Drosophila melanogaster: one gene and its partner. The protein of the gene in region 2 purifies or fractionates together with the protein of the main gene of each other region. This does not show direct contact. Each region holds a gene or a part of one and is shown on either strand. Other genes may lie near its edges.

The links.
Region 1: the proteins of PIP4K (region 2) and CG32512 purify together in Drosophila melanogaster (affinity purification with mass spectrometry, with the first as the bait; one large-scale study listed by BioGRID). This does not show direct contact.

The regions. Positions count from the first base shown.
Region 1 is NC_004354.4:21,055,560-21,073,888, forward strand, and holds CG32512 (uncharacterized protein), read right to left. Parts: upstream 11,982-18,329; 5' UTR 11,661-11,981; coding exon 11,041-11,660; intron 9,030-11,040; exon of another isoform or gene 8,903-9,029; coding exon of another isoform or gene 8,892-8,902; intron 8,632-8,891; exon of another isoform or gene 8,585-8,631; intron 8,485-8,584; coding exon 8,243-8,484; intron 7,857-8,242; coding exon 7,408-7,856; 3' UTR 6,718-7,407; downstream 1-6,717. Other genes in the region: bves, read left to right, coding at 5,450-5,998.
Region 2 is NC_004353.4:1,186,403-1,200,090, reverse strand, and holds PIP4K (phosphatidylinositol 5-phosphate 4-kinase), read left to right. Parts: upstream 1-3,242; 5' UTR 3,243-3,383; intron 3,384-3,613; 5' UTR 3,614-3,633; coding exon 3,634-3,771; intron 3,772-3,828; coding exon 3,829-3,926; intron 3,927-3,999; coding exon 4,000-4,249; intron 4,250-4,300; coding exon 4,301-4,431; intron 4,432-4,494; coding exon 4,495-4,663; intron 4,664-6,231; coding exon 6,232-6,383; intron 6,384-6,436; coding exon 6,437-6,531; intron 6,532-7,105; exon of another isoform or gene 7,106-7,320; coding exon 7,321-7,385; exon of another isoform or gene 7,386-7,438; coding exon 7,439-7,555; 3' UTR 7,556-7,672; downstream 7,673-13,688. Other genes in the region: CG33521 (uncharacterized protein), read right to left, coding at 7,732-7,734, 7,785-7,866, 7,929-8,071, 9,542-10,024, 10,083-10,210, 10,402-11,037, 11,742-11,902, 12,211-12,356 and 2 more.

The DNA of each region.
Region 1 (18,329 bases), on a different chromosome or scaffold from region 2:
AGACTCGTGTTCTATTAGGAAAAAATCAATGAAGTGACATTCTCATTTCCGATTTTGAGACCCAATTGGGATGAATTGCTTTCGTAACTTCCAACTTAACGATCTTTCCAAAGATCTAAACTACATGAAGAAGGGGAAAATGGGGATGAAATTCGTTTTTAAAATTTCTATTTAAAAATATATTGGGTCCAAAAATACTTTATCAGTGGGGAGAATAGCTCTGAAATGAGTTTCCAATTCCCGAATTCCACTTCAAAGATCTGAGGCGATAAATAAAGACATTGCTATGCAATTCAAAAGTCTCATAATTCAAATGAGAGCCCAAAAATAACGAACGAATTATTCAAAAAATAATTATGCATTTCAAAAATAACTGGTGCGTATTTTTGCTATGAACTGAGAATAATATTCTTTGGTAGAAAAATCTGAGAACTACATATATGTATAAATAACATATTGCTTTGCTTTGCAAATTCTTCTCTAAGTCTAAACAAACCGTAAAGTTAAAAACCTATCTAAATCCAAACAGTTGGATAACTGAAAGCCATTTGATATCGCACCTAAGGCAGCATTCCGATAAGATAAATGACCTTATGTACAAAAACACTGAACTATAGAAATGTTTTCTTATCAGTGCTCGGCTCTGGATGAAATTCGTACTCCATAACTGATATTCACAATTGAAAATTTCCTATCACTAAGAGCTAGCTGAAAATGTTAGTGGACCATTAGAGTAAGGTAATCCATCAATATTGCATGTATAGTATACTGATGTCGACCATTTCCTAACCCATTTAAATGGCCATTGAGTGATTAAGTGTTTTTGTTTATTTTTTCTTCGATTTCTGCTTTCGCCTCAAAATAATTTACACAATTTTTGCCGTGGCTGGCCCGTTTCGGGCCATAAAAACGATGTAAAATTTAATATGGCATATAGGGCGAGACAATGTTGCCTGTTGTCTGGTTATTGTTATTATTATTTTTGTTTACACGTGGGAAACGGAAATTGGTGGTGAGGGGCAAAAAAAAAACGGAGGACAGCAAAAAGTTGCCGCCGTTTCACTTTCGGCTCACCAGTCTCCACTTGCCCCACCAAAGTAGTTAAAATTTACAAATAACAAAGGAACAGTCGAGGAATCTTAAGAAATGCTGCAAGCGTTGTGTTTTACACAATTAATTCCACGTAATTAAGCCTTTACGAAGCTTATGACTTTAATGTCTGATCTTCCCTTTTTCGCCCTCTCTCTCTCACTCTCTCTCTCTCTCTTATTGTTTTTCGTTTCGTATTTTCCCTTCTATCGCCGGTTTCATTTCCAATTGTTGCCATACAAGTTCCGCTTCCAATTGGATTACGACCACAATTTGTCTGCGGGCCAAACACCAATTAGAATCGGGCGAGATATGGAATTGTGCGGGCGCCTTAGCTCCTTATAGCTCCTTATCGATATCTGAATGCCCTTTATTTTTAAAGTCAATTTTAATGCATTTATGTTTTTAAACATTCAGAGTGCTTAGTTCGAAGTACATGCATATGTACATAAGTCCAATCGGAAGTCCAAGGGGAATTTTTGCGTTTAGTAAATATATATTGTATTTCCTCCTATGATAGTTTTCTCCTTGCTGAAAAAGGGTAATTTCCATTTCGCTTGATAATACTCATCTATAAAACCCGCGACTTTCTCCATAATTATAATCATTTGCAGGGAAATTCAAACAAAAAATCGCTTACATGTAATAGCCAAATGCCATTTCTCATTAGATGATGCCCCCCACGACGATTTCACGATGATTGCCACTGAGCAAACATCAATTGCTGGACAAAGGCAATCGATGACTTCGTCGTGAAAAAATGGGGTTGGGGGAGTCAAGAGGGACTTCATATCGGCCATTAAACCCACACTTTTCCGATATCGTCATTGGCCACTGGCATGTCATTCAACCCACCCTATTTCACATGATTTTCACCCGGCGACTTTTCCTTTCTGCTCGCAGTTATCAGTCGCAAACTATTGGGATTTTCGCAAGAAAAGTCTTTCCTTTTAAGTTGTCTTTTTTATCGTTCTTCGAAATTAAAAAACGTAAAAACTTTGAAAATTAACTGCATTATTTAAACCTAATTTAAGTCATTGTCTTTATTCAATTCCTCAATGTTTTAGGTTAGTTTTGAGCTCTTAGTTAACATAGTAAGTGTAACTTTTATGCAGGTCATTTCATAGTTGCACCTATAGCTATTTATTATTTTTAAATGTAGTTTCATGTTTTCTTTCACTTGTACTACATATTTGTTTGTGTTTTTCTAGTTTTTGAATCTTGCTTCGTTCGCATTGTACCCATTTTACTTTTGGCTATGGACTTAAATTTAAGCGAAGTCGCGCTTAGTTGTATTTGCATTTGTTGTTTTGTATTTTTTTGTTTTGTTTTTCGTGTTGTATGTGTGTGTGTTTTTTTTTTTCAAGGCAACAAAGCGATGACTTCATCTTCTCTGCCCACATTTTTGTTGTTGCCACACAATGTGTGTGCGTGCGTTGGTGTGGATATACCCTTTATGGAAAGTATTTGGAGTTTTTGAGTTTGGGCGCGCTCGGGAGAAAGCATTAAACCAATAAACCAAACCAAAATCACCATATATTATAAACATTACTTTATATACATAAATATGTATGCACATATCTTAAAAAATTGTTATTTCAACACGGACCTAAAGTCCATAAAATATAAAAAATTGAATTATATTGTGCTTGTATTATCCATAAGCAATTTATTGATTGTCCGTATGAACGTGAACTTTATGATCTGGAATATTTGGACTTAGATTACAGATTCAAGTGACAGTGCAGTGCAATATTGAAATTTAAATTTTGAACGCCCCCCCTATTAATGCTTTTTCCTAATTTTCTGGCCAAATTCTACCAATTCTATCTAATATATGTATTCCAAACATCTACCTATACTTCAACTAGCTAGCTAATCACCAAAAAGAACAAAAGAATTTGTTAAAAAAATAAGTTTTAAATAAATGAAGATTTTTAGAACGACGTCAGGAAATATGAGTAATACGTATATCCTCCGCTAGGTGGCGCTCGTCGATATTCAAGACCGGACAACTCTTCATTTGCTACGCTGTAGATATTCGGAATAGAATAGATAGGCCAACGTTTTTTAAAAATTTCTTTGACCGAGGCCAAGAACAAGCACTCTTTTCTCTATTCTGGGTGGTAAATGTTCATTCCGTTTTTAGGGTATTTGCATTTCGTTAACACTCAACTGATTTACATTGCTTTTTTTGTGTTGCTGCTGCACACCCCCGAAGAGTTGATGATAATGACGAGGAAGTGTTGGCCTTGTTTGTTTTTGTGACTGATGTGTGTCACTTGCGCCGCTATCATCATTATCGTTATTAGGCGCACGCCAAAGACATTGTGGCAGTGCAGTCAATATGCAAAGTGTTGAGTAACAGTCCACATCACTAGCGCATTATGATCATCATCGTGGACGTCAGACTGACTGCCTGTCATCGGTTGGTTGACCACTGTCAATAATCACACTGAGAGAAAATCCTGTATCGTAGATATGTTATGGTAAATTAGAATTTGAATATCGTATCGCCATCGTGATCAGGTCAAGACATCATCAAGACGCCATCAAGATCGGGTCAATGCTCACATTATTTTAGTTGGCATTGTCGAAAAGTTTGGAAATGTTATCTTCTGGGCTTTTCTTTTTCTTCCAGTGCATGGGCGACCACGAACTTTGCGACATCAAATTGATTATTTCGATGCCCTTCTTTGTCGCTCTTGTATCCACAATTTCTCCCTTTTCTTTTCACACTATCTTTCCTGCTCGTTGGCTTTGTTTTATTATTCATGTCCAGGCCGGAAATGTTTCGTTTTCCAGTCGCACTCACCAGACCAACCCCAATACCATAAACTATATGGGGACCACGGACCGTATAGACCATGCCCTCGCCCACTTTTGGCCACTTTCCCAGTGTTTTTAGTGTTTTTTTTTTTTTGTTCGGCTGGCGTTCTTTTTTGGGGTCAGCAAACAAAACTCGCACCCGTTGTTTGCTTTGTTCTATATGTGTATATACTCTCTGGAGTGCTTTTGGCCAAGTTTTGTTGGCCTGGTCGAGTCGGAAACAGGTTGTGCGGATCTCTGTCGGCCGAAAAAAAAAAAAAATAAAATAAAAAAATAACATTGCAGATAGTCTTTGCTTCCGTGAATTTCAGTGGATTTTGCTATGATTTATACCCGATTACCTAGATTTTTTGTAGATTTTCGCATGATATACAATATTACGGGTTTCTGAGAATTTATACGGAATTTTGGGTGCGTCGTGATCTGAAGTTACGAGAAGAAGTCGCTAAAGTTCATATCTACATACTGTATGTATGTCCACATCTGTATGTACTATTAGTCAGCCGAGATTCATAATCATATTAAATGTTTATAAACAATTACTTTAACTCCGATGAGTACTCAGCGCCTTTGTTACTAATCAGTATTGTATTAAATTCCTCTTGAGGTCTGTAATGTGTTTTATAAATATCAATATCAGTAGTCAATAACAAAATACTTATTGAGAGAATAAATAACAAACTGTAAAAATATAATTCTTTTGAATTGCATTATGTACATTTCTGTTTGTAATAAGTAGTCCGTCATCTGATATCCTTTCCCTAGTCTACTCAAGGAGTAATAATTCAAGGAGTGGCTACACTCCAAGAACTGGGGCATTCACTAGCAGCTGTAAGAGTTCACAGCGGGGCTTTACTGTTGGTGTTGCAATATCCATTAATAGTTAATTAATAAATTGCCAAAGCCAATTACTATCGCATTTATTCAGCAACTGCCCCTACTTAACATTTCTTTGCCTAATTCGTTAGCTGAAACTGGAAACTTTCTTGACAACGTTTTTTCAATTTCTTTCAGCAGCTGCCTAAGCGATGCAAAATGTGACAGGCGGCAGCAGCAGTAGCCTCATCAAAGGTTAGCTCACCAATAGCCCCAGCTAAATATTAAACAAATACGGAAATAAGAGTCTAAGGCCATTAACTAAACGGCTGACTAAGCTGTAAAATGCAAAGTAATTCAAATTTCAACTAGCTAGGATATGAACCGCAAGCAAAAAATACATTCAAGACACCAACCGCAAAGCACAAACATTTTGAAAAGGGCAGCAGCAATAACAAAACAAACCACCACCAACAAAGGTTGAGGAAAACCGCGCGTAAGCAACAACAAACGAATTAGGCGAAGGAGAGAAAGGTGGAAGATAGAAACAAAAGGCAGATTTTTGGCATTCGCCTAGCGTGGACAACAACCAACCAGTACATCAACCAATCAATTTGGTAATTAGGCAAAATACGTGCTGCAAAAAATAGCTCAACGATCAGGCTGAGAGGAGAGTGACAGACTGAAACGAAGGCAGTTCGCCTGGATCAACGGAATGCCCAGCACGGCGGGCAGTGCAGCTGGCGTTGGTATGGGCGCCCTGATCAACAGTGCCGGCAGCAGCGCCAGTAGTGTCATGGGCATTGGCATGGGCAGAGCAGCTGCTACGGGAGCAGGAGCACCAGGCAGTTCGGGATCTGGAGCAGATGCCTCCGCCGCCGGCACTTTAATCGCCCAGAGCACGGCGGGAACGAGCGCCGCCAGCAGTGGAACGATCACCTGGGACAACAATGGAACCCTGCGATCGATCAATCCCGGCGATTGGTCCATCGAACAGTGCCTCGGGCCACATCACCTGTACTTTCAGCTCGGCTGGGCCTTTCTCTTCCTAGCCTTTTTGGCTCCACACGGTCCCTACGGCGCCCTGTGGATGCGTGCCATGCTGCTCATTGGCTGCCTGATGATGGGCATGCATGGCTACTTGGTGGCCTTTGCACCGGACGTCATCCTGTGGTCGGGCATGGGACTTTTTGTCAACTTCATCTATCTCGTCGTGGTGCTATGCCGGCTGAGGCCTGTGCGATTCGAGCAGGAAATCGAAGCGGTAAGTGGATATATGTATATACCGTAAACTAATAATAATAATAATAATAATAATAAAACAATTATTATGACTTAGAAATTCCTGTTTTATATTGCAATTACAAATGAAAACTTAGGGACATGCTGAAGAGTTACCTCAGTAAACGTCTTTAAATAACTGCTTATTTTAAAGCATATTATTTATATTCTTTTCCCCAGAAATCCAACTCAAGCTTACATTTAATTTTTCCAAAGCCGAGAAGTAGGCAATCCACTCGATTAATTCATCTTCTTGACATCTTTTTAAAGATCTAATGTACATATGAGCCGCAAGAAAAAGAATCATTTAAATTTTACACATTGATTGGATATTTTTATTGATGTGTAAAATCCCAAATAAGAAGACTTTACTCGTTGAGTTTTTGTAAGAAACTAATTTTATTTGGAAATATCTTCGGTTTAAATAGGTGACATGAGAATCGCATCTTAAAGTAAATGGCCTACGCAGAGGCCTAAGTAAATAGTCCCCGCCTTATCGAGGTCCCACGCTCGGGCACATCTGCCTATCTTGAGCGGCGAGGACCTTATCTGTGGTCTCCCACTAAGGGACTATTTTAGGAGGCGGGGAACGATCTCAAGTGACTGACTCATGTAGTGTGCACTTAAATTACATGTTTTTGAGCAATGCACCCATGTCGCCTTAGATAACAAAATCCTAAATATAATTTATCGCTCTCGATTCATTTACATAAGATATGAACGGAGCCCAAAATTGTAAGTCTTTAAATATATTCGTGTTCATGTGTGAACAGATGTATGGTTTTTTTTTTGTGTTTTTGTTTCTTTTTGTGCTTTTTTGGTTTTTGATTTTGTTTCTTTTGTTGTTGTTTTTGTTTGTTTGTTTTAATATAAATTACATTCACTTAATATCCGCACTTAAAACAGAGAAAAACATAGTTTTCGGTGGATTAATAAATAACAGAAGAAAATTAATGAATGAGACAAAAAAAAAAAAACAGTATAATTAATTATCAATAGGCTATTAATTAATAACTTCTTGTAAATTATTGGCTATCAACTCTAGGCTAAATGTGCTGTGGTTTGCGGGTGGGTGTTTTGTTTTGGGAGTTTTGGGCTGAGTTTATCACAGGAAATCAGATTGGAAAGGTCGTCGCAAACAAGGCGTCCTTGGGAGAAATTAAATATTTTCGTGCATGGGCGTATGGGTGGTGTGGGCGTGTGTGGGGCGGAGGAAGGGCATTTGGGGCCGGATGGAGGACCAGTTCAAAAACTCAAGTGTTCAATAAGCCATATTTGAATTTGAGACATTTATCGAACGTGGAACGTACAGTAGTAGTAATGTGTGTGTGTGTGTATGCGTTGTTATGTGGTGGATACCTAAATCTATAAATTCTTCACTTCGGGCTTGCCTTAGCTAAGGCGTATTTTCGATGCCAGAAAATACAGCTGCAGGCAGGTGGTCAGCATGACCGTCATATTGCCAATGGCGATGGTCATGTGAATGCGCCGGAATCCCTTGTGGATGCGCTGATAGTGCGGGCAGTCGACGAGGTCGCCCTGGACAAGGCTGCCCACCTCCTGGCCACTGCCGATCGCATCCTCGATCCTGTACTTCTCGTGCATCAGCTGCAGCATCGGTGGCACCAGGTACAGGCGCACCACCACCTCAATTCCCGCCGCCAGGGCCAGCGATCCCATCTGGATGCCCGCCGATGTCGTCCATCCGCTGAGGAAATACTTGGCATACACCACCAGCATCGTCAGACTGAGCATGGCGTTCAGGGCGAAGTAGCGCGGGAAGAGGATCTGCTGGCACTGCCCGAAAACGTGGCGGGGCAGAGAGAAATACAGCGAGAGTCCTGCAAGGATGTGCAAAAAATTAGACTTGCTAGTAATCGGTTTTTATTTACTGCCCAACAATTCTACAAAATGTAATTACGATTTTTGGCGGAATGGCGCACAAATGAAGCGAGTGTGTGTTGATCGGCTTAAAGAAATGTATTATTAAATTGGTTGATCTTGGCAATGGAATCAGTGATCAGTGACCATTTCATATGCTGAAACCTTGACGAACTGAATGTTATGGCTAGACCATCTTCACAGTACTTCGTTCGCTGAGATGAGTCAATGAATTTCCTCAATGGCATTATGCATTATGAGCTTCATCTAGGAAACAATGAATGTTTGGGATGCTCATGTGTGATCCCTGAAGATCAGAAAAGTCCTGCGATATGGGGACACTTACCCGAGACAAATGTCATCCAGATCTGAGACCCAAAGTGGGTGGCAAAGGCGCCCAGGAAGACCAAGGCCGCCATAACTCCGCCCGTTGCTGTTCTCGTCGATGCTGCTGTTGCAGACGCTGCTGCTTCTGCTGTTGCCACCGTTGTCGTTGGGTCGATGAGGTCGCGTCCCACAGTCATCAGCACAAAGGCCAAGATGCAAACAGCTATCAAGTGTGCTGGCTGTGTCGTACGCGTCAGAATTCTGCAATGGGAGAGTAATGTTTTTTGTCAAATAGTACGAATTTAAATTTAGAAGTTAACATTATTTTAATGAAGTTTTAATGTTGGAAAAGAAGACTAACTTTCTACCAGACCATCGGCATTTGATCGAAATGTATCGAATTGATCGCACAGTATCGATTATTATCGATCATGGCTCAAAACTGGGGTTCTGTAAACATATTGATATAAGTACATATGTATGTACATATACATATGTATGTATGTGTGTTTCTGTCTCAAGGCCATGAGGTCTATTTTCTTGATTGAAGTGCTTTTGTGACCCGTTCGGTTCAATTCCTGTTGTGAACTTATAACTTATAAATGCAATAGCTACGCAATTGACGATGGTCTAAACTCCGCGGGAAAATGGGTTATGGGGGTACCCACGTGGCCCTCATGTCCGATTAGATTTGATTTGCGGCGAACTTTTGCACCGATTGCGATCGTGCGAATTCACCGTCTCCTTTTCCCCCACGTTATGGCTATCCCTTTCTGTTCGTGTCTACGCATTTGTTGCGTCTCCGTCTCCCCACCAACCCTTCCTAGTCTGGCATTTTGCATATCCGTCTGTTACGTTTTTATGTCTTTTTTGCACACTTTTTTCGCCGTTCGTTTTTGTTTTTGTCGCGCGGCGAATAGAGCCCAAGTGGCGTACGTGCGCAAACGCATGCAACCGAATATTGTATATTTTCGCCGCCCCCCCCCCCCCCCACTATTACCCTCTCTCTCTGTTGCTCTCGAGGGGACCATAACTAAAAGCCAGAAATTGGCAATCTCTATGCGGTATTCATAGCAAAAAAGCGTGGATAATGCAGCTTTGTACTTGCACTTGGGGCGAATTCAGTGGAATCAGCTGGCGACCAGCTGATAAAACGATAAAACGCGGCGAACGCAGCTGATTTATGGACAGGGGTGAAGAAAAGACAGCAAGTCCATACTACAGTTGCAGTCAACATATTAGGCCAGCCATAAATGCAAATATTGATTTAATAAATTTTTTCAAACTTGCAACTAAATAACTCAATCGACTGGTAACGAACGGTCTTGCCGCGACATCACTTTTAAATCAATCGTCCTTCCTTGCATGCTACAGTTTTTCCCCGGACTGTATGCACGCGAAAGCTCTTCCCGATGACGTAGGACCCGGATCGCACTTTGCACTCCAGCAGGTGGTTGGTTGCGGATTGGGCGAGAGAGCGAGCCAACAAGAGCGGGTGATTCAGGGGGTTTTAGGGAACTCTATTGACATGCCAATTGTCGTCATAGCGCCCCACTGACCGCAAGATAACGACCGTTTCTAGACACACCCCCGCGCCACCCGAGGTTTAACATATCGCTTGACATTGAGTCAGCATTACGGTCAAGGCGAATATCACTTGATCGTATTTTTAGACTCACGCACTTGTCGTTAGTAATGCGGCCTAGAGGCCCAAATTCCCGTGAATCACCAACAGAAATTGGGGCTTACGTTAACTAAGGTTAGGAAAGGAGGGGTTCTTCTGTTTGGCTATGCAATTGTTAATAAATTATTCCATTTCTTGGGGTTCCACTGTGGCGATCGATATCGTGCAGGTCACGAGTTTGGCGTCTGCTGCCAGGCATTATCAATGGGGTGCTAACAATCTGTTTAATGGTCTTCGTTGTATTTCGCTTTCTGGCCAAAGCTGTTCAGAAAGTTTGAGAGTGCTGCAAATCAGTTTAGTGTTTAGTAGCTGTGACATTTTAGTTAAATACATACATACATATATTGTTAAACTTAGTCTAATAGTCTTTAATGCTTATGTTAAGAAGCCACTTTAGTGTGTTAATAGACCAACGACAGACGTTTCTTGTGTCTGCTGTTTGCATAACGGTTGTACGCCCCAGACAACAGCAGACGGTGGAAAAATTCTACGCTTATATTTGCATTTATAAATATCAATATAGGGGCGTGATCAGCATGATCCGCAGCCGTGACAATGAACTGATAAGAGCTGATAGTGGCGCTAGCATTTAGGATTTCCTTCCTTCGTCAGCTGATGAATTTATTGGTACATATTTAGTAACAGGGGGCGTGCTATATGCCGACCAATGATCGCTACAAAATAATCTTTATGATACATACAGATCAATTTTACTTCGGGTAACTCAATATTCTCCCGTAAATATTAACTTCATTGGCTATTTTTAGAAGTATTTGCACTTTGTGATCATACAAATACAAAATATTCGCCGTCAACGGAGTAAAACTACCAATAAGTTAATTGGATTCGCAACAGAGTTGTTAACAGAACTAATGGAATAATAGAAACTGCACTAAGAGTCAAAAACCTGAATTGTAGAAAAACTAGCAGATATTTTATTTTAAGCGGCACTATCCAAATGTTAAATATTTTAAAGTGACTTAAGTGGCAGTATGCGAATATATTAGAAAGTTTCAACGGAACTCTATCTCCTAAATTTGTAGCAGGTAATTATTGAAATGAGACAACTTAGGAGTCCAGTTGAAAGATGATGGATGATGTGTTTTAGCGGGGAATAATGGTGGGAGACTTACGTGTACAGGCGACTGGCCTGCAGCTTGGCCACCAGGCAGGTGATTCGCTCGGACACCTGCCTAGTCATCTGGGTGCCGATGGCCAGGGCGTCGTCCATTGACGGCTCCATGGAGCTCAGCTTGCGCTGCTGTTGAGCCTTCAGGGCGGCGGCGGGCGTGCTGGTGGCCAAGGGCTCCTCCTCCTGCAACTCCATCTCCTTGAGCATCTGCTGCTGCTGCTCCTGCTGCAGCTTGCGAAATCGCGGGCAGAATCGTAAGAGGTCGCTTCTGGGTGTGGGGGCCGGTGAGATGACCTTTGGACTGGTTGTCATATCCGCCGACGGCGACGATTTCAAAACGGTTTCGGTAACGCCGCTATCCTCGCTATCGCTGCCGGTGACCGAGGAGGACGAGGAGGAGGAGGAGGAGTCGCTGGCGCTACTGCTTAGCTCGAGTTCCTCAAGGAACTGCTGTTCCCTGTGCAGATCCTTTTCCAGATCTCTCCGCTGCTGCTCCTTCTTCTCGCGCTTCTTCAGCGTGTACTTGACACTCTTCACCGCCTTCGATGGCATCCCACAGGCCATGTAGCGCTCGATCTGCTGCTCGTTGTTTTTCTCCACGATCCCTGAATTGTGGCACATCTTTGCATTGGTTTCTGTGGCTCCTCTTTGAATTGATAATCCTTTTTAGATGCTCTGTATTCTTTTTGGCACTCTTCTTTGTCTCGCTTCGCACAGCAAAAAAATTTAATGGGGGTTACTTAACTTTCCGTTTGTATATTTTAAATATTGGATTTTGGGATTTTTCTACACCGCGCTTTCGGATCGGTTTGTGGGTTTTGACTGCGATTCTAACGTGGGGTTGGGTTAATATTTGGGGTGGTTATTTTTTTTTTTTTTGGATTCCGGGGGGACCAAGTGCGACACGCGGCGCGTTGAGGTGTGCGATTTTGAATGGGAAGTCGCCGCTGCCATTAGCTTTTATATATACCGCCGACAACGCCAGTTCTTGCGCCAACGGCGCTGCCCGCTCTGCTTCCGCTCTCTTCGGACGCGGCGAACGCTCCGCTCTCTTCGGGATCTACATTTTGCACTCCGATCGAATCGGCGGAGCTGATGCAACAGTGGGACTAATGGCGGTGCCCAGTGGGTTGCCCAGTAGTCCAGATCAGCATGATCGCGTGCTTTCTTATCCGCAAAGTGCATTTGCCTTTATAACCGTAAAAGCCAAACACTTGGATTGATAGATGGCTTTATTGTTATATCGTTATATATATATATCGATCGACTGTGTAATTATATGTAAAGCTACCAATATATGTAATACTACCAATAAGATAAAATCTGTACTAGGATGTATATTTCCAACGCTTGGAAATGAAAATCAGACAATTGAACAGATCGATGATCCATAGATCTGTGTCACTCCAATCTATATAGTAATCTAAATATAATATGTAAAATGTATTAACTATCGTATACAAATTAAGCCATATATTCAGACAATCAATCGTATGATTTAAAATGGAACCGAACAGATAAGATTAGTCAATTGGTCTGCGATTATTGGCATTGGTTTATAAATTTAGCAAAACAATTGACTCAATTCCAGTTTCGTTTGAATCAATTTGAAATTGTTTGGTTTTTTTTTTTTTAACATTGGTGTCAACCCACTTAAGCCGGATTGCAAATCCCACTGTGCGATGCGTTTAAACTGGATTATCCCAAAAAGAGCGGCCGTTGGGAGGCTGGGCTTCAGCTGGCGATCTCTTAAATCTAGCGAGGTTTTTAAGAGAGCCGCCGCCTTATCAACAGCAAGTCTCAATTAATGGTGGCTGTCACGCTGCGATCGTTTGGCATTATATGCCGCCTTATAAGCACCTGACAAATGGATGCCACATGTGAATAGTTAGTGGCCCAACCTTCAGACGTTTATTTTTTTCGATTTTTTTCGCCAGAAACTTTCCAACAATGTTGCGCCGAAAAAGTGTGGAATCCACAGCGGGATGCAAATGCCTTGAATTCCTGCGACGTCACCAGCGCGTTCGAGCAATCCCCGCCTAATGCACACATACATACATATGTATCCATATGTACATTGGATCCACCGATTCTGGTTTATCACCAGTGAGTCGTCGGCTTAAATTCGGCGAATGGCTTCGATCACTTGCGTCGTGGGGAACGATTTCTTATTTCGATTTCGGAGAAACTCCCCAACGGATATTTAATATTCTGTTACCCATTCGGGGGGAAAAACTTTTCCACCCACCCCCCGGATTTTGTGGGTATTAGACACATTTGCCACTGACGCAAGACATCTGCAAGAAATCACAGGTGAATCATATGGAAAAGAACACGTTCAGCTCAGCACTGATCACTCGATGAATATATAATACAAAGCAATGATTAAACTAAACGGTAGTTGAGCAAGTAGCTAACTATACATGCAAACATAATCCATTTACACTTTGATAGTAGATCGTAGACTCTTAGAAAGTAGCCGCAGCCCAATTCGAAATGCTAATGATAACGAAAATCTGGTTGGGTGAATCACCCAGTGATTCAGTGGGGCTTGACGAGGATCGCCTCCTAGCCAGATCAGTTAAAAGTCCCCCACTGAAACTGACCACTTCTTGCGATGTGGCAAATCTTTCGCACAAATAAAAAAAATAACGTGCTGGCAAAAAATAGAATAAACGAACTGTTTACTGTTTGATTAAAATTCACTTGATTAAGCTGGGCGTGAAGAGACTAATCATGGACAATCAGCGAACGGGACCATGTCATTATCCCCGATTCACCGCAGCACCCAGCACCCTGCGATAAATCCGCAGAGCACCGATTCTTGAGAGCCACGATGAGTGGGCAAGAAATCACGGCCAGTGCACGATGTCCGGCCAAATTGGGTGACCAAAAGCGGATTTAATGGCAGTATTTGTATGCACCATAAGGAGGCGATCGGCCAAAAACGATCGGAGGAGGGATCTACGTCCGGCCAGACAAATCGAAGCGAATCGAAATGGTTGGGAGTGCGACTGGGATTTGAACCGCAATTAGATAATGAGCAGTTTGTGGGCAGCCATCGAACGGCGATCGACGCGATCGGCCATGCCAGGAATCGTATATAGAAAGTACTCTCCATGTACATCTTATCGATTCGAGTTGATCCCCTTGTCATGTGCCGCACGTTCCGCGAGTTGGCGGCTCCAAAGAAAAATTAAATTAAAATCAATAATATTATTAATGAATGAATCGAATCTTCAAGTCGAAAATCTACAAATGGCAGTCAATCGATCAATCAGTCAGTCGAACAAATCAAGCACTCCGAAACAAGAGGGGAACAATTTACCAAGATCAAAGGTTGCCTACCTACCACCAAGAATGTTAGAACAGATGATCGTCCAAATATTCCTTTACCTTTATTTCTATTCATTAAAGTTGCAGCTTAACCATAAATTAGCCAGTCTGTACTTTAGCAAAGCAATGAAAATGTTGATATAATAAGGTGCTCCCTTAAAGCTATACATATAATTTAAATTCCTTGCAGTTGTAACCACAAAGAGATACATCATTGTGAAAATATATTGTATATATTTTACGTCCACTAAATCAATCATCAAATAGGTCGCTAATTTGTGATATGTGGACTGGTTAATGATATAACGATTAAGCGAACTATTCATAGAATTTTGACATTAACTAGTTTATAAATTATTTTGGACCACGTGGCACGGAATGCTGTAAACAATACAAAATTTACGAATCCAATTGGTATCTATTATATTTGAACAGTAAATTTATTATACATCATCCGTCAATGGTTCTCATGGTGAATAGCAATGTGATGTATTTGAAGATGCTGAAGATTAACTATTAAATTGTTTTATAATAACACTATGTATTTGGTAATAGCTGAAGTTTTCGATATTCGTGAAGGTTTTAGCCATGCTGCTTTGCTTTAGCATAATATTCATAATTTTTCGTTGAAAATAGTTTATAGTTTATAGTTTTGCCGGTTTGCTAGTGTTTTTCTTCGGAAGGCAGGGGTACGTGGGCCAAGTCTGGTTCTGTTTTTTTTATTCCCAGCTGGCGTTGTGGCAAATTCCATTCCGTTTTTCCTCCAATGCGGACGTGCCGGCCGGCTTTCGCGTCATATGGGCCAGCAAATGCGGACGGATGAAAGGTGACCGAAAAAGAGCGGATCGGGGGATCCATTAGACGGCTAGGGGACACTCGGTGATGTTTTTATTTCTGCACCTGACGCACACCGAGCGTTTATGCAGAAGAGAGGAACTTGGAGAGCCGTCGAAAGACATATGCGTCAGCATCAGCTGTCCAATGTGGCAATCATTCGACAGAAGAGGGCGATGTGGCCAACACACCCACACCACCCTCTTTCGTCTCACAGTACCGCCTCCTTTTCCACACCCACCCACGCGCCTTCACTCAATCATTGTGCGAAGTGCGGCGTAATCCCTTGGTGGAAAAAACAAAAACAGCGAACCACGTGAGCGGCCTAAGCAGATCCAGATATAAGGGGTACGTACATATGTATGTATATACATATGTACATATGTCTACTGGGTGCCGCCACGCCCATCACCCACACGCCTTCTTTCCTGGAATCACATGAGTCACCTAAATCACTCGAGAAATGAGACGTAGATCACTGACAGCTCAATTAGCACTGAAAATGGCGGGGAAATTTAATCAATTTGGGGGCAAACTGAAGCAAAGAAATACATAATTGTATATTTCTTTTCACGATGTTCATAGGTACTGTTATGTGGTTAAAAGATTCTAACCCTAAAACGGCTAAAAATATGTTTGTATATATGTACATATGTTATATGTTCTTAAAATATCGTTCACATATTTGTTTTTCAAGATCTTTAAATGTTATTACTACATTTTTGTGGACTTATACACTTTTAATGGATTTACCCGGAAACTTTCAAAAGTAAACAACGTTTGAAAAATATAATTAAGTGTGCATCATACCGTAAATAGGTTATCAACATTTCAGCAACAGCTGAAAATGCCCAATTTTGGTATTTCACCATTTGCACGGCAATTTTAACGGTTGACGGCCATGATAAGCAACCAGAAAGTGGCGAAAAACTTCTAGAGAGTGGGAGAGAAAACTCCGCTGCAGTTCAGTCGGTTGTTATCAGCAGCAGTTGCTTGTTGACGACAATCGATTCTGATTCTGATTCTGCTTCCAATACTGTTAACCAGCTCTCCATTGTTCACACAACGCAGTCGTGTGCAACCATCGACATTTGTTTGCTTTTTTGTTTTTGTTTTCGAACGGCCCACTGTTGCCGACTGCCCGTTACTTCTGCGACTCTCTTAAAGTCGAAGGTAGAGAAGGAAGAGAGCCTCTCTTTGGGGGGGCTTATCATCAGGTTCAATGGCTCTCGAGTGCGAATGAATGCTTGCTTTCCCACCGATCTTCATCGCTCTCTCTATGATCTACAATATATGCGCATTTGGGCAGGTCAGTTAGGAGGGAATAAGAAGCGGAAAAAGACATAAAACAGAGCCATAAAACCAACGATCGATCGAGTGGGGAAATAATTAAACCCGATCAGCGATAATTAAACCGCATAAGTGTCCCCATAATGGATCGATCGATCGTCATCTGCGGCATGCCCCATGAGAATTCTTCGCAATTAAGAGGCTGCGATCAAAGAATGTTCTTCGCAGTGATCTTTGGCTCGGTGGATAGATTAAGACAATCAGTTGGCAGAATTCCAGAAGAATTCCACCAGTTGTTAGGCAAAATGAAATTATTAATAAACTGCTCATGCAGATTGTGCAATTTATGATTCATTTATTGCCCTAATTACTTGATTAATGCATTTATAAGTATTTTATAAGTTAAACTAAGTTAATGGTTATGAACAGTCTTTAGATAACACATTGATTTTTAAGAATGTAGCACGTACGGTTGAGTTTCCCATTCCGGTAAACGGAATCGTTGGATTATTCCTATTGATAAGTGATCAATTCATTCATTTAACTAACTTTCAATTCATCCTTAACCGTGTAAACTCATTCAGGGCTTCAGGCCCAGTGAATCCTTTTTGGCCATTAAGAAGTCAATTGAATCTGCCTCGGGAAGCAACTGTTCCGATCTCATTCAGAGATTGGCCAAAGTAGAGCATTATCTCTGGCCGACGATCGTTCGCAAATTGCTCTGTTTCGGTTTTAATACTTATGTGTACTTTTTATTTATTTTTTTTTTTTTTTTTTGAATTCTTCGCTATCATTGATTTCAATTTGCAAATTGCGAGCGGTACAGCGGAATGGTGCTTTGTTTCCCACAGCAAAGGAATAACGACCTCATCCCCGTTCCCATATTTCCATTCGACGGCGGTCCATCATGTATATGTGGCGGCTGTCCAGCCGGCAGTTCATCATCATCTAGAGGCCGCTTATCTGCCTCATCTGTACACAGCGAGCAATTCTTGGGAATTGGACGCACGCTGGTGCAACAAATGAACTAAAAGATATGAAGTTACTTTAATGTACATATATACTCATAAAGGATTAAACCTTTATCTGAATTGAATTATTATAATTCTAATTGCTTGCCTGCTGGACATCTGATCCATTGAGCTAATTTGATTGGCAATTTAGTTGATGGGCTAATTTTTTTCTTAGTGTATCCGTATCTGTGCCTGCTACTCTTCGTTCTCAGCGCCTGTGTGGATTTGGATTTCATTTGTAATGCTTTTTTTGTGGCTCTCTGAGCTGCGCTTGATGCTTGGTGGTGGTGCTCAGTGGTTCAGTGGCTCGGTGGTTTGGTGATTCGGTGGCTTGGTGGCTCGGTGGCTTGGTGGCTCTGTGGAGACTGGCCTACGTGACTCGGGAATCCGCGGCAATGTCCGACGACCGACTGGCGACCGGCGACTGTTGCAAATCGAAACGATTCGCTGGATCCGCTGGATTCGCCAGCAAAACCTGCCCCGGATCACAATTTGTCCGACGCCCGGGCAAGCCTCTTGATTATGTTATTTATTTATTTAGCCATGCTCGTTAATGTTTAATGTTATTGCCGCGCGTCGCTAGCGTATGAAAAAATTAAGCGACGAAATCCAATCGAAATAAAACCTCATTCGCATTCGGGCCACTTTGAAAGTCCCTTCTGTGAAGTCGACTTCGTTGGACCCTGACCAAAAACTCTTAACTAACCTTAAACTGACACAAAATTATTGCAGCGAGTCATTATTTGTTGTCAATCAAATGGTAACAAAATTGAAAAAATATACGAAAAATACCTATGTACATCAATTTGAAAAGGTA
Region 2 (13,688 bases):
ATAATTGATAATTGATAATTGATAATTGATAATTTATAATTTATAATTTATAATTTATAATTTATAATTTATAATTTATAATTTATAATTTATAATTTATAATTTATAATTTATAATTTATAATTTATAATTTATAATTTATAATTTATAATTTATAATTTATAATTTATAATTTATAATTTATAATTTATAATTTATAATTTATAATTTATAATTTATAATTTATAATTTATAATTTATAATTTATAATTTATAATTTATAATTTATAATTTATAATTTATAATTTATAATTTATAATTTATAATTTATAATTTATAATTTATAATTTATAATTTATAATTTATAATTTATAATTTATAATTTATAATTATTATATTATAATAATAATAATAATAATTATAAATAATCTCTTTAGTTGAGATTTTTACCAATTGAACTGCTTCCATGACATATTTAAAAAGCCTGTCGGTTTCATACAACATAGAATGTATGGATGTACATACTTCCATTTATTACATCAAGACTTGATGTACTCAAAGCTAAATTTTAGCAACCATAAATTGATATTCAATCAGTATATTTATGTATGTTCCTTTTGTAAGATTATTCTTATCTTGTTTTATATGATTTTATAGACAGATCCATATAACGTACACAAGTTGTATGTTTGCTTGATAAGATTATACTATAGCGCTAATCATACTTCAAATATAAAGCTTTTGCGCACATGCGTACATACGTATGTTCAAATGAAAAGGATGTACTTTTGATTATATATATGTATTTATTTCAGTATACATTCATATCAATACGAACATATACTGATCATTAAAATAAATATTAACATAAGCTCAGGCATTGACAACGCTGACTGTATATTAATGTGCAATATATTTACATTGCAAGATACTTACATTTCATTATGCCGTATACAGCGTGATGATGATTTCAATTCATAGAACTCCATATTCTCAGTAACATTTGGTAAGAAATCCATATTGTCGTTATCATTCAACAAGTTTATATTTAGATCAAACTCCATATCAAAGCCCAAATCGATTCCAGATTCCGTCATATTTAGGATTAAATTTTTTATACTTAGGAAATTTTATATACCCAACTAACAATATACATAGAACAATTTTTATTTTTTACTAATTATGAAGTTCACATAATTTCGCCTCAGCAGTTAAAGATTCGGAACTACTAATGAATACCTAAAGTTTCATAACACGTATAGAGCTTTTAATAGTGGTGAGAATATGACAGTAAGTGATCGCACATATATCGTGATGTTAAAAGAGCTTAGAGAACTGCCAGTATCTCAATAAAATTTTAAGATATAATTATCTTGTATTTTACTATCAATATAGTAAAAAAAATCATTCAATGTACAACGACAATTTAACTAAATATAACTAAATATATGTAATTTGCATAATTATCATATTATGAAGGAAAGAAATCAAGCTATATATAGCGGCTTCTTAGACAAAAGTGATACAACTAAAGTTTCTTTCTCCTAAAGTTTTTAAGTATTTTTACTCTTCCCCTTATTAGGATTTTCTTTTTCTTATTAGATTAATTTTAAATTTTTAAACTTATCATATTACATTTCACTTTGAAATATATAAAATATATATATTTTTAAATAAGAAAATTAAAATACAAAACAGCTATCAAATCGAAAGTTTTAAACAGAATGAAGTAGTTTGGTATGATTATTTATCCGATGTACTTCAGTTTTTTCCGACTCTACTGAAAAGGGGAAGTGTTAACCGACTCTAACACAAAAGATATTTTCAGCATTGTTTTTTCTACAAAATATTCATAAACGTTATTCATAAAACGTTAAAAATAAATATTTATTGTGCTTTTATTATTGTCAAAACATGAACAATAAAGCATGCAGCTTTATTTTCGTAATTGAATTAAGAAAGTTATCTTTGGCAAGCCGAATCGTAAAGTAACGGTGTAAACAGATTAAAAACAAATTAATAAAAACTAATGAAGTTATTCCGGCATGCTCTGGTAATGGTCATTTTTTGGATTTGGGCAAAATCTTTCGATTTCGTTTTTAGGTGCTCTGGTTTTCGCAACATTTCTGATATCGGGATGCTTCATAAACAGTAAACAGCTGTTTCAGACCATAGAGCGGCCATCTTATTCACAATTTTTTAAATTTTATAAGTATTTTTACCTTCGTACATATGACCTCTTGCCAAATCGAAAATTTTTGTTGCCGACGGCAAAATTTTGTATGGCAAATCTGAGGTGGGGTCAGAAATAATTTTTCTATAAAATATCTATGTCGCAGAATAATCTTGTGGGGTTATGTGGAGTAAACAATGGACCACTAATCTGAGGTGGGGTCAGAAATAATTTTTCTATAAAATATCTATGTCGCAGAATAATCTTGTGGGGTTATGTGGAGTAAACAATGGACCACTAAGATCTAAGATCTGTTATGGCCAAACAAAAGTGCCCGTTTTACAAATCAAAAGATCGAAAATTTTTGTAGCCGAAGGCAACATGTTGTTTGTCAAATCTGAGGTTTAATCAGAAATAAATATTTTATAAGATATCTATGTGGCAGAATGATCTTGTGGGGTGATGTGGAGTAAAGAAGGTACCACTAAGATCTGATTTGATATAAATATAGGCATTTACTTTTCATTTCGGCCAAACAAAAGTGAAAAATTCTTGCGAATTCAAAAACCGGAGCACCAATTTTTCGATTTCACATCGAAATCGTAAGATTCTTACGAATTCGAACACAGGAGCACCAGTTTTTCGATTTTAAATCGAAATCGTAAAATTCTTACGAATTCGAATACCGGAGCTTGCCCGATTATATTTTATTTTATAAATTCAATTTTTCCCGAGCGCTAATATGGCAGAGAATTTCGATCAACTCACATTTGTGTTCCACTTTAAATTTGTCTTCATATCAGAGCACGTGCTTTTGGTTTTCTAAAAACAACTCCTACAAAAACCTTTATATTTAATATACAATGCGGTTAGTCTCTTTGTTTGATCTAAATTGTTTCTCTTGAGTATTGCTTGCTATTATTAAAAGATTTTCAACTCTCTGAAGTCCTTTTAGAAGCATAGAAGTATTTAGAAGATTTAAGAGTTAAAGTATTAAATAGTTTGTGATATCAGAATTACTTTTAAGTGGAAACGGCGTTTCATAAGCCGATATAAAAAACAATAAATACATATCTGAATTTATCGATAAGGTATTTCATATTATAAATTTATGTAAACTACAAATTTGTCTGTTCAAAAGCCTGCGAGTCATTGTAAAATACAATAATCATATCTGCAAAGTAAACTAAATTTATTATGAACGCTGGGTTATTTTAGTTTTCAATAAAATGTAATACCAAAGTTCTGTTTAATGTAAATTGGTAAACAATTTACGTGCAACTCTATACATTGTATTAATCAATTTTGGGCTATATGTGTATATAGATATATAAGTGAATGTATATATTCAATGTTACAGCATGTATTATTAAAAATATTAGTTTTTTAAGTGGCTCATCAGCTCTAAATTTAACTTTGCTTAATTTGTTCAGTAATGTTAAACTATATTTTTGATTTTAGTAATTTTAGCCACCCAAAATATGGAAAAAAAGATCTCATCGTCATCCCAGCCCCGGATTTTAAAAAAGAAGCACTTCAGGGTTAAGCATCAAAAGGTTAAATTATTTAGAGCCAATGAACCAATTTTAAGTGTGTTCATGTGGGGAATAAATCACACTGTATGTAACAAATATTAAACAAGAAAGGCAAGATAAGCTAATTTGAAATATTTCCAGATTAATGAATTAAGTCACGTTAATATACCTGTAATGCTTTTGCCGGACGATTTTCGAGCTTATTCTAAAATTAAGGTGGATAATCATCTATTTAATAAGTAAGAAACCAAAACAAATACATTTTTGATATTCTCAATCGTTGGTATTTTCCTGTTATTATATCCACTACAGAGAAAACATGCCGTCACATTTCAAAGTCAAGGAATATTGCCCCCTTGTGTTTCGAAATTTACGTGAAAGATTTGGCGTTGATGATGTTGATTACCGCGAGTCCTTAACTCGATCCCAACCTATTCAAATTGATTCGTCTGGAAAATCAGGAGCGCAATTTTATCAGAGTTATGATAAGTTTTTTATAATAAAAAGTTTGACATCGGAAGAAATTGAACGAATGCACGCATTTTTAAAGCAATACCATCCGGTGAGTAAAGTATGGTTTAATTGACTAAAATATCCTTATTATAATTTTTAGTACGTTGTGGAGAGACACGGAAAAACGCTGTTACCTCAATACTTGGGAATGTATCGTATCACTGTAGAAAGCGTGCAATATTACTTCGTTGTCATGAGGAATGTTTTCAGCTCCCACTTGACAATACACAAGTATGAAATATGTTGAAAGTTACACCGATTATATGTATAGTATAACCATTATTTATTCGATAGAAAGTTTGATTTAAAAGGTAGCACCGTTGATCGGGAAGCATCAGAAAAGGAACTTGAAAAAAATTTGCCGACTTTCAAGGACAATGATTTTATAAAACAAAAAGTGAAATTAGACATTGGAAAGGAAGCTAAGGACAAACTAATGGACACGCTGAGCAACGATGTGGATGTAAGCAAAAATTTTTATTTTATTCGTATAATAATTGTTTTTATCAAAATTTAAACAAGAAAGAATGCGAGTTTCCCGACTATCAGATATCCGTTACTCAGCTAGTGGAAAGTCAAAGCGAAATTTAATTGGGGAATCAAATGAGAAACAAGGGAGAACGCTATAGTCGGGTTCCCCAACTAGTTGCCCTAATATTAACGGCATTAGATGGGAGGAGAAAAATGTGAATTGACTGGACGAAGAAGTTCGCTAGAAACTGCGACACAACTAATAAAATTAAATAAAATTTGTTATAAATGTGGGCGACAGGTGGCAATAAGTTTTTTGGCATATCAATAGAAATTTACAAGACTAAAAAAAATATGAAAAAATATAAAAACAATATTCAAAAGTTCAAATCTTCATGTCTTCATTTAATAGTTTCTGAGATCAAGGCGGTCATAAGGATTGACGTTCGGATTCAGACATTGATCCTGATCAGGAATATAGCGTCCGAAACGCTTCATATTACCTGTTATATACTTTCCAACAAATATAGTATACCAATTTACCAAAGACAATAGAATAACAAGATGCGTAACGCCATACGATTTTTTTTTGGCGTGGCTTTAGAGGTGGCTCCAGGCTCTCTCGAATTTTTGTTCAAGAGCGAGAGAGCGGAAATCTCTACAGCCAGCAGCTCTTTTCTACGCGTACCAATAGTACCAATATAGTATACCAATTTACCAAAGACTATAGAATAACAAGATGCGTAACGCCATACGATTTTTTTGGCGTGGCTTTAGAGGTGGCTCCAGGCTCTCTCGAATTTTTGTTCAAGAGCGAGAGAGCGGAAATCTCTACAGCCAGCAGCTCTTTTCTACGCGTACAGTGACAGCCGACAACTGTACGTATGCTCATGCATTGTAAATTTGACGAAATAAGCCCTTCATCTTAGAAGTTCTTAGACTTTAAATCTACATTATTTTTGATCAATTGGCACCATGTACAAATTTATTTGTTTTGAATTGCCTTAACGTTGTTTTTATTTAAATATAGCTTAGAAATAATAATAGCCTAATCTTCTATGTACATAATACCAGAAAATAAATTTCAAAAATGACTTTATATTAGAATATTTGTCATTAGAGTATTCAGCTTGCGACGACTAGACTTGTTGAATCGATCTGAAACATCGAAATTTGGGAAGCTGTAAGTGCTATAAGGAGTGCAATTAACATATCGAGGATCATCGTCTTACATATCTTGAATGTTATTAATTCATAGGGACTACAAATTTGTCGCCTTGCACATTTTATATAAATTTCAGGTCTTGAAAATCATACGAATGTGCTGCCATTTTCAAGCATATTGCGTTAAATCTAATTCATAAAAAAAAGTCCTACGAAGTGGTACTTGAAAACCATTTAATCTGAACAAATTTATCTAAAAACCTTTAAATTGTTGTAGTTTAACCTATATAACCAGTAGATATAATTATGTCTTGCATGACTTGATAATTTATTTATTTATAAATATAAATTACCAATACTTTTTGATAGCATATGGTGACATATAATTTATTTTAGCTTTTAACCAAGTTGCACATTATGGATTACTCTTTGTTGGTCGGCGTGCATGACTGTGTTCGTGCAGAGGAGGAAGCTTTGCAGGGAGATAATATACTAACTGTTGGTCGCAGTGAGAACAGCGAAAGCGAGGAATGCGATAGCGGGGAACGGTAAATAAAAATTATTTTATTTAAGCCTTAAATGTACGCAGTTCTTGTTAAAGCTGGACGTATAACACTCCTCCCGATTCTCCAAGAGGTGCACAGTATAAGGAAGTCGTTTATGAAGTTGATATATATGACATTCCAAGTATTGAAGGTAAATGTAGTTTAAAAGTTTTGTACGCAATAGCCCTGATAACTTAACAAAGAGCATTTTTATATTGGTCGTTTTTATATTTTTCAAGTTTTTGAAAATGATGCGTGCGTGCTTATGACGTAAAAAAATTGAAACAAAATTTACGTTAAAGCTCGTTTTTTTAAGATTTTACCCAAAATATTTGGAAAAACAATATATGTTGTTTTTCCATTTTATGCATGATTAAAACACCGGGGAGTACCGATTTCTGAATAGGATACTTAAACTTTCTCTTCTGATTCAGCAGTTAAGATCGTAGCTTCAATCAGACTTGGGAATCACTCTTTTAGTGGCAATCATCATAAAATTTCAGTTGCTTCAATCGTCAACTATCGTGACCATTTCGCTTCATTTGATGTGTTTCGTGCATTGCGCTTATACAAGGGGTACAATATAGTTAAGCAAAAATGTGTGATAACCTTACACCAATTTACATTACATTCAATTTATTTAAATAATTTATTAAAGAATAAATATTATTCTTTAATATATTTAATAATAAATATTATTAAGAATAAATTTATAAAGAATAAATAAATACTTTGTTCTTTGACATACAATGCAGGTAAAAACTATTTTAATAGAACCCCATTAATAAATTTAAATTTCAGTTGTTAACTAATGAGATTTCTATTACTGGTTTCTTAGTGCACATTTTAATTTTTTGGTCCAATCACTTCTACCGTTTTGCCACTAATACTACCGGTATTAAAATTAGAGAATTAATGTATATTTTGAACTGTATTGCAGAAAAACGCGAAATTTACTTTATTGCAATTATTGACGTTCTTACACAATATGGAGTAAAAAAACAGGTATTTCATTTAATACTTAAAAGAAAGGTTGTAATTTTAACAGCATATTTTAGGCAGCTAAAGCAGCCAAAACTGTTAAATATGGCAGTAATGTTGACGGTATATCAACCTGTGACCCTGAACAATATGCCAAACGATTCTTGGACTTTATGGATAAAGCTATAGAATAAAGTATTATACTCATTATGTATTTGCCACATTCAAAATGTCAAAAATGTATTTATCTAAGACATAAAATATAAGATATTATTTTGAAGCTTCCAGATGATCATCTTTTGGACGAATGCAAATATATTGCCTTAAATATCCATTTAGAAATAATTCGGATTTAGTGACCATCACGATGTTACTAGAAAAAATTGGTGAGTCGGGTAAGGATATTTATTCTACTGCACTTACAACAAAACGTTTTATTTGAGTTTTTGATGGGTTCTCCATAGCAGTTTCCGATTTTTTCATATTTTCAAAGCGTTCCCGTATTCTGAAATTAAAGGACCATTACCTTGCAAATTAGTCAAGATACATAAGTAAGTTTGATCTTACGCTTTGGCACTTTCAATAGATTCGTTTGAAATAAGCTGTGAATATACATCAATGCGACCTTCCTTTATTTCTTGTTCTATTTCGTTATTTTGCCATTTTTCAAATTTCGCTCTCAATTGCTTAGCTCGTGCAACACTTTGCGCCTAAAAAAACGAGAAGTGTATTTAATGTACTTTGTAATTACTTCTGGTAACTTAAAGCTATAAAACATTAAAGACTCTTTAGTTGTTATTGGGAGTACAGGACTTATTACACTGGCCAACTTTTTCTTGAAAAGGTAGTACCAAGATCACCGAATTAAACTTATTATGTAATAGATTTAGCGAGGAGCAGGTTCGTAGCATTCTCTTTGTCGAGGACTTCTCCTACAGCAATTACATGTAATTACAAAATTTCATCGAATCTAATTTTAAAGAACTTTGACCACAGGCAGGCTTACAATAAAAAATGTTTGGCCGTTATAGTGGGCGTACGTGGACGTTTTTGCCATATTGATATATATGTGAGATACACAATCAAAAAAAATGTATAAATGTTCGTTACTCATAGATAAAAATAATAAAAAAAAAAAACACCGAAAAAAACTGGAAATACATATAATAAACTAAAATTTACAAAAGTGTGGGTGTGGGACCGGTTTGTGGGCATGGCCAAATTAGGGCAACATGGGTCAACAAACTTGCGCTACGTCTATGTCTTTAGAATCTATTGATCCTGATCAATAATATATGTACGTTATAAGGTTGCAAACGTTTCCTTCTACCTGTTACATACTTTGAAACAAAACTAGAATACCCTTTTACTTTATGTGTAACGGGTATAGCAAGAGTTAGCATTCACTCTTTAAAAAAGATTTAAAAAAATTTTAAAATGGAAAGGTGTGGGCGTGAAAGTTTTGGGCGGGGCAAAAAGTATTTTGGTAAATTTATAGAAATTTACAAGAGCAATAAAAAATTAAAAAAGATCAAAACTTTTTGCTAAATTGTGGCCGTGGCAGTTTTGAGCAAATTGTGGGCGTAAGAGAGGGCGTGTCAAAAATTTGTTCGAAAAATCATAGAAATTTACAATACTAATAAAATTATGAAAAAATATCCAAACAATTTACAAAAGTGTGAGTGTAGCAGTTTTGGGTGGTGTGTGGGTATTAGAGTGGGCGTGGCAACATGGGTCAACAAACTTACGCTGGGTTTATGTTTCTAGAATCTGTATGCTTAATCTTAACCTTCTAGCTTTAATAGTTCCTGAGATCTCGACGTTCATACGGACAGGCAGACAGACGGACGGGCAGGGCCAGATCGAGTCGGCTATTGATCCCCTGATCAAGAATATATATACTTTTATGGTCGGAAACGCTTCTTTCTGCCTGTTACCAATACACGGGTATACCAATCAAAACATTTTTAAAAATCTGCATATACATACTTTTCAAGGAATCTACTTTTTAATCTACGAGTAACGGTTATAATAAGGTACGATTGAAATTCATTTAAAAAACGTTCATAACGCCTGTCTCAAGTAGATAAATAAGCATAATGCATAAAACGCATATAAAACGCATATAATATATATAATATAATGTTTGGGCTTTTCATTGAAGTTTAAGAAAATCTTACCTCGAGAAGTGCCTTATCGTTGTAATAAGAGTTTGAAGGGTTAATTTCAGACTCTTCGTCGTTTTCACTATTTTGTTCGTAGTCACTGTCGCTTTCCTCCTCAGTATCTGATCTAATAAATTGATGTGAAATTTCAGGTGGTGGAGTAAAACACTTCAATGGCTTTGGGTTTTTTTTTTTTTGTTGATCACTCATTTTTTGTTCCTCCATTTCGCGAAACTTATTTAAAATAGTGGACGTTGTTTTCGTTTTCTGCAAAATGTTATCATTGAATAAAGTCGTGCTAATTTGTTGATTCGTTTCGGAGTCAGGAGGTGGAAACATTACAACGCCCTCACGTGGCGGTGTCATGCGGAATATCCTTTTTTTATTTTCGGCCGGAGAATATGTTTCGAAGAATTTAAACTTTTTTGACAACTCTTCAGTGGCGACCTTAACTTCTTCTGGCTTTGAGTCGGATTTGACAATTTCAACATCGCTATTCTGTATTTTTTAAGTTATGAAAATAAGAACGTTCTAACTTTTTTAATTATAGACTCACCTCCTGCACTTTTTGATTATGTATCTGATATTTTTTATCGGGGAGGGTATATTGTACATGATTGCTTAAACCCGATTTTATATTTGCATCTAGTTTCATAAAGATGTTTCTTGATGCTTTGCTTATTCCTGTATTATTAAAAAAGGTTAGGTATATTTAGCAAAGCTATTATTATATTAAGATATACTTTACTTATAACAGGTTCGTAAAAACACAAACTACGAAAAAATTAGTAAAAATACATAGTGCGCAGTTTTACACAAGTGCCTATTTTGCAATTAACTGTGCTGTTACGAAGGCTGTTATAGTATAGCCTTACCAGATTCGAATACATCCGCATCCTCATGAATACCACAACTTACTTCGCTTGATAGTATCTTACTATCTTTATAAACTTCACCGTTCTCAAATCGGTTCTTTATTTCCTGAGTGGGCTTAATAGCACAAATATCTGGGGTTTTGCCAACTGATGTAACGGGTTGTTCTGATTCAGCAACAGCTAATTTATACATTTCTTTTATTTTGGCTTGTTTACCCAGAAACAATCGAGAGCGTATGTTTTGTATTTCTTGTTTTCTTTCCTCGCGGCGCCCTTCCTTTGCCATTAAGTCACCTTGCTCAAACTTAGATCTTATATCGTTCATGGCTTCCCCCAAGCCTACAGGGGTTTCTCTTTCGATCTCCTTTTTTAAGCACATAAAATTCATGTCGCCATCGCCATCACTATTATTGTCACTGTTTTTATCGTCTAATTTGGTTAGTTCTGAATTAGGTATCCCTAGCCCATGAAACTTAGTCAGTGTAGACTGTATTGACTTGCTATGCGTAATAGCAATATCTTGACGTTCTCGTAAATTATTGTTATGTTCTTCATAGCCATTTTCGAAAACTTTAAATTTTGAGCGCAGATTAAGTTCTTGGAGCTCGTCAAGGCCAAGACTTGGTTTATCGGATGCTAAAATAGTTAATAATTATATTTGATTATATATATTCATTCTTACCATAAATGTATGTTGAATAAAATGAATAAATTTTTTATTAGTACATTTTCCACATTTCATGAACACAATATAAGAAAAAAGTTTACTACTTAATCTGGCTGGAACGACGAATGATATGTGTTATTGACTTCTCGCCCCTTTTCTGGGTATATTATAGTCTTTCATCCTCTTCCAGTGAAAATGGGGAAAACAATTCAGATGCCAAAGAGAATCGAATTTGTTGTGTTGACTGACTAAATCGTAAGCAAAACTATATAACAATTTTTTTGCACAGGTCTAACACGGAAAAGGGGAAAGATTATTAAAATATATAAGGTCCATTTAAATTAAAAAATGAAATTGAAATTGAGTGCCGAAACCCATTTTTTTCAAATGTTTTTCTCGAAATGATATTTTTTTTTGTATCAGATCAAAAAGTTATTCAGAAATGTATCTATAAATTGTGAATATTCTTTATATTATTACAAAAAATATAACCAGAATTTTTGAATAAAAATGAATATAATTTTTTTTAAAGAAATGTGAAAATATGATTATAAAAAGGTGAAACTTTAGAAAACACCAGTATATTGAAGTTCATGTTTTTCGATAATGTGACACTTATAATAATAACAACTGGTATTCTTCTCAAGAGAAAATCTTGAAGAATTATTCTTACCTTTAGCAACATCCGGCGGTAATTTAATTGGCTGATTCTCTCGTATTATCAGTTCGGCTTTTCGTGGGGTAAATTCTTCGTAAACTACTTTCGGGGCGAATATTAATTTAAAGTGCATAGAGCAATATAGACTTCCATCATGAACATTATAGCTATCAAATCTGTGGGTTATTACAAAATAAGAATAAAAATCGAAAATAAAATAAAATTGTTAGATTGCTTATAGAGCTTACAAACGACATTAACTGTAAAATAAGATTAAAACTTCTAGACCTCGGCGTTTATAGGGATAGACGGACTAGATCGATTTTAAATTTATGAATACTGTAAGGACTCGGAAAACCATATTTCAACGTGATACATACTTTTCAATGAGTTTGATTGAATTCATCGATGGTTACGACGTATATTATTATTGGTTCAACAAAGTTTAAAGTATATTATAATATATATTTTTTTCGGTACTCACTTAAGGTGTTTGCCACAGTCCTTGCAACGTAAGCACGTTTTATGGAAAATAGTCGTTGCTGTCTTCAAACTAAGAATGACTTCCTCCATTTTGTACACGGGTTTCTTGCATTGGTGGCAGTTTTCAACCTTCTCAGGTATTGTAGACTGGTAAAAGGAAGGAAATTAAATTTACAAGCAGCTGATTAAATTGATTTAAGTTAAAAAATCGACCACCTTTTGTTATTTTGTAAATGTAATGCGTTATCTTTATGATACTTAGCTTACTCGAAAAAGTGATTGAGCTTTTTTAGAATCTCGTGAACGTACATGAATAACATTACGTTTTTGTAGATCATCGAATTTCGTAAAACTTTTTTTCTAGAAAATATAAGAGTTGTAATTTAAGCAATATAAGTTGGTAGGAATGTATACATAAAAAATAGATATTTGTATGATACACATTGTTAGAATGGGTGAGATGTATTTCCGTTACAATATACCCAGTAATACCATAGAGGCTATTTAAGTTCAATACTCAGGTTAAAAGAGCGCGAGGGAGATGATTATATGAAATAAGATAGGGTACTGTTTAAGAGATTGTAAACTATCGCCACAAAGCGGCAGTTACTTTTATTGCTCACGACTTTTTGTGGTCAGGTCAGGTACGCCTTAAATTCTTAATTTAATAAAAAAGTTTACAGTAGGGATTTAACCGTAATGTTCATGGCCTATTGGTAAAAGCGTTATAGGCGACTTCCCTCTTGATCCCGACAATCGGATACCCATTAAGCCAGCTAGAGAATTTTCAACATTTTTTGACATATCGATAGAACATATTTTGCAGAAGTTGCAGGTTTGGCCGGTTAGTGGCCGTTAGAGATGGCGTGTCAACATTTGGAAACAAACTTGCGCTGCAGCTCTCGAATCTTTATGTCTCACCTCAACTGTCTAACTTTTAAAGTTACTGAGATCTAGACGTGCATACGGACGGACATGGTCAGATGGAATCGGCTATTGATCCTGATCAAGAATATATATATACTTTACATAGCAAACAAACTTGTTCTCTGAAGAAGTGTCACTAGACTTTTCATGTTTTATTATTAACACATGCAACACATTATTTACTTTGTGTTGCTATTTCTCACATTGTAATTAACGAAACTTATAAATATTAATAAATATTTTTCCTGCATACATATATATGTACATACATACATATATGTACATATTTCTTAAAACTAGAAAAATCCACAAAATCTTACCATATTTATATTTTGGTTATCATATTCATTTGTTTTTGATTTCTTAGTTTTTTTTTTTTTTAAGGGTAATCCATTTCCGAAAGATATTTTTGAACTTTGGGGGTTTAGACTGTCCATGTTAGTTTAAACGGCTTGCTGGTAAATTTTAAAGTGCAGACGTCGCTGAAATAAAATTTTAATTATTTTACTTGACTGTGATCATCGGATAGGTATGAGAAACTGTCCAAGGGTT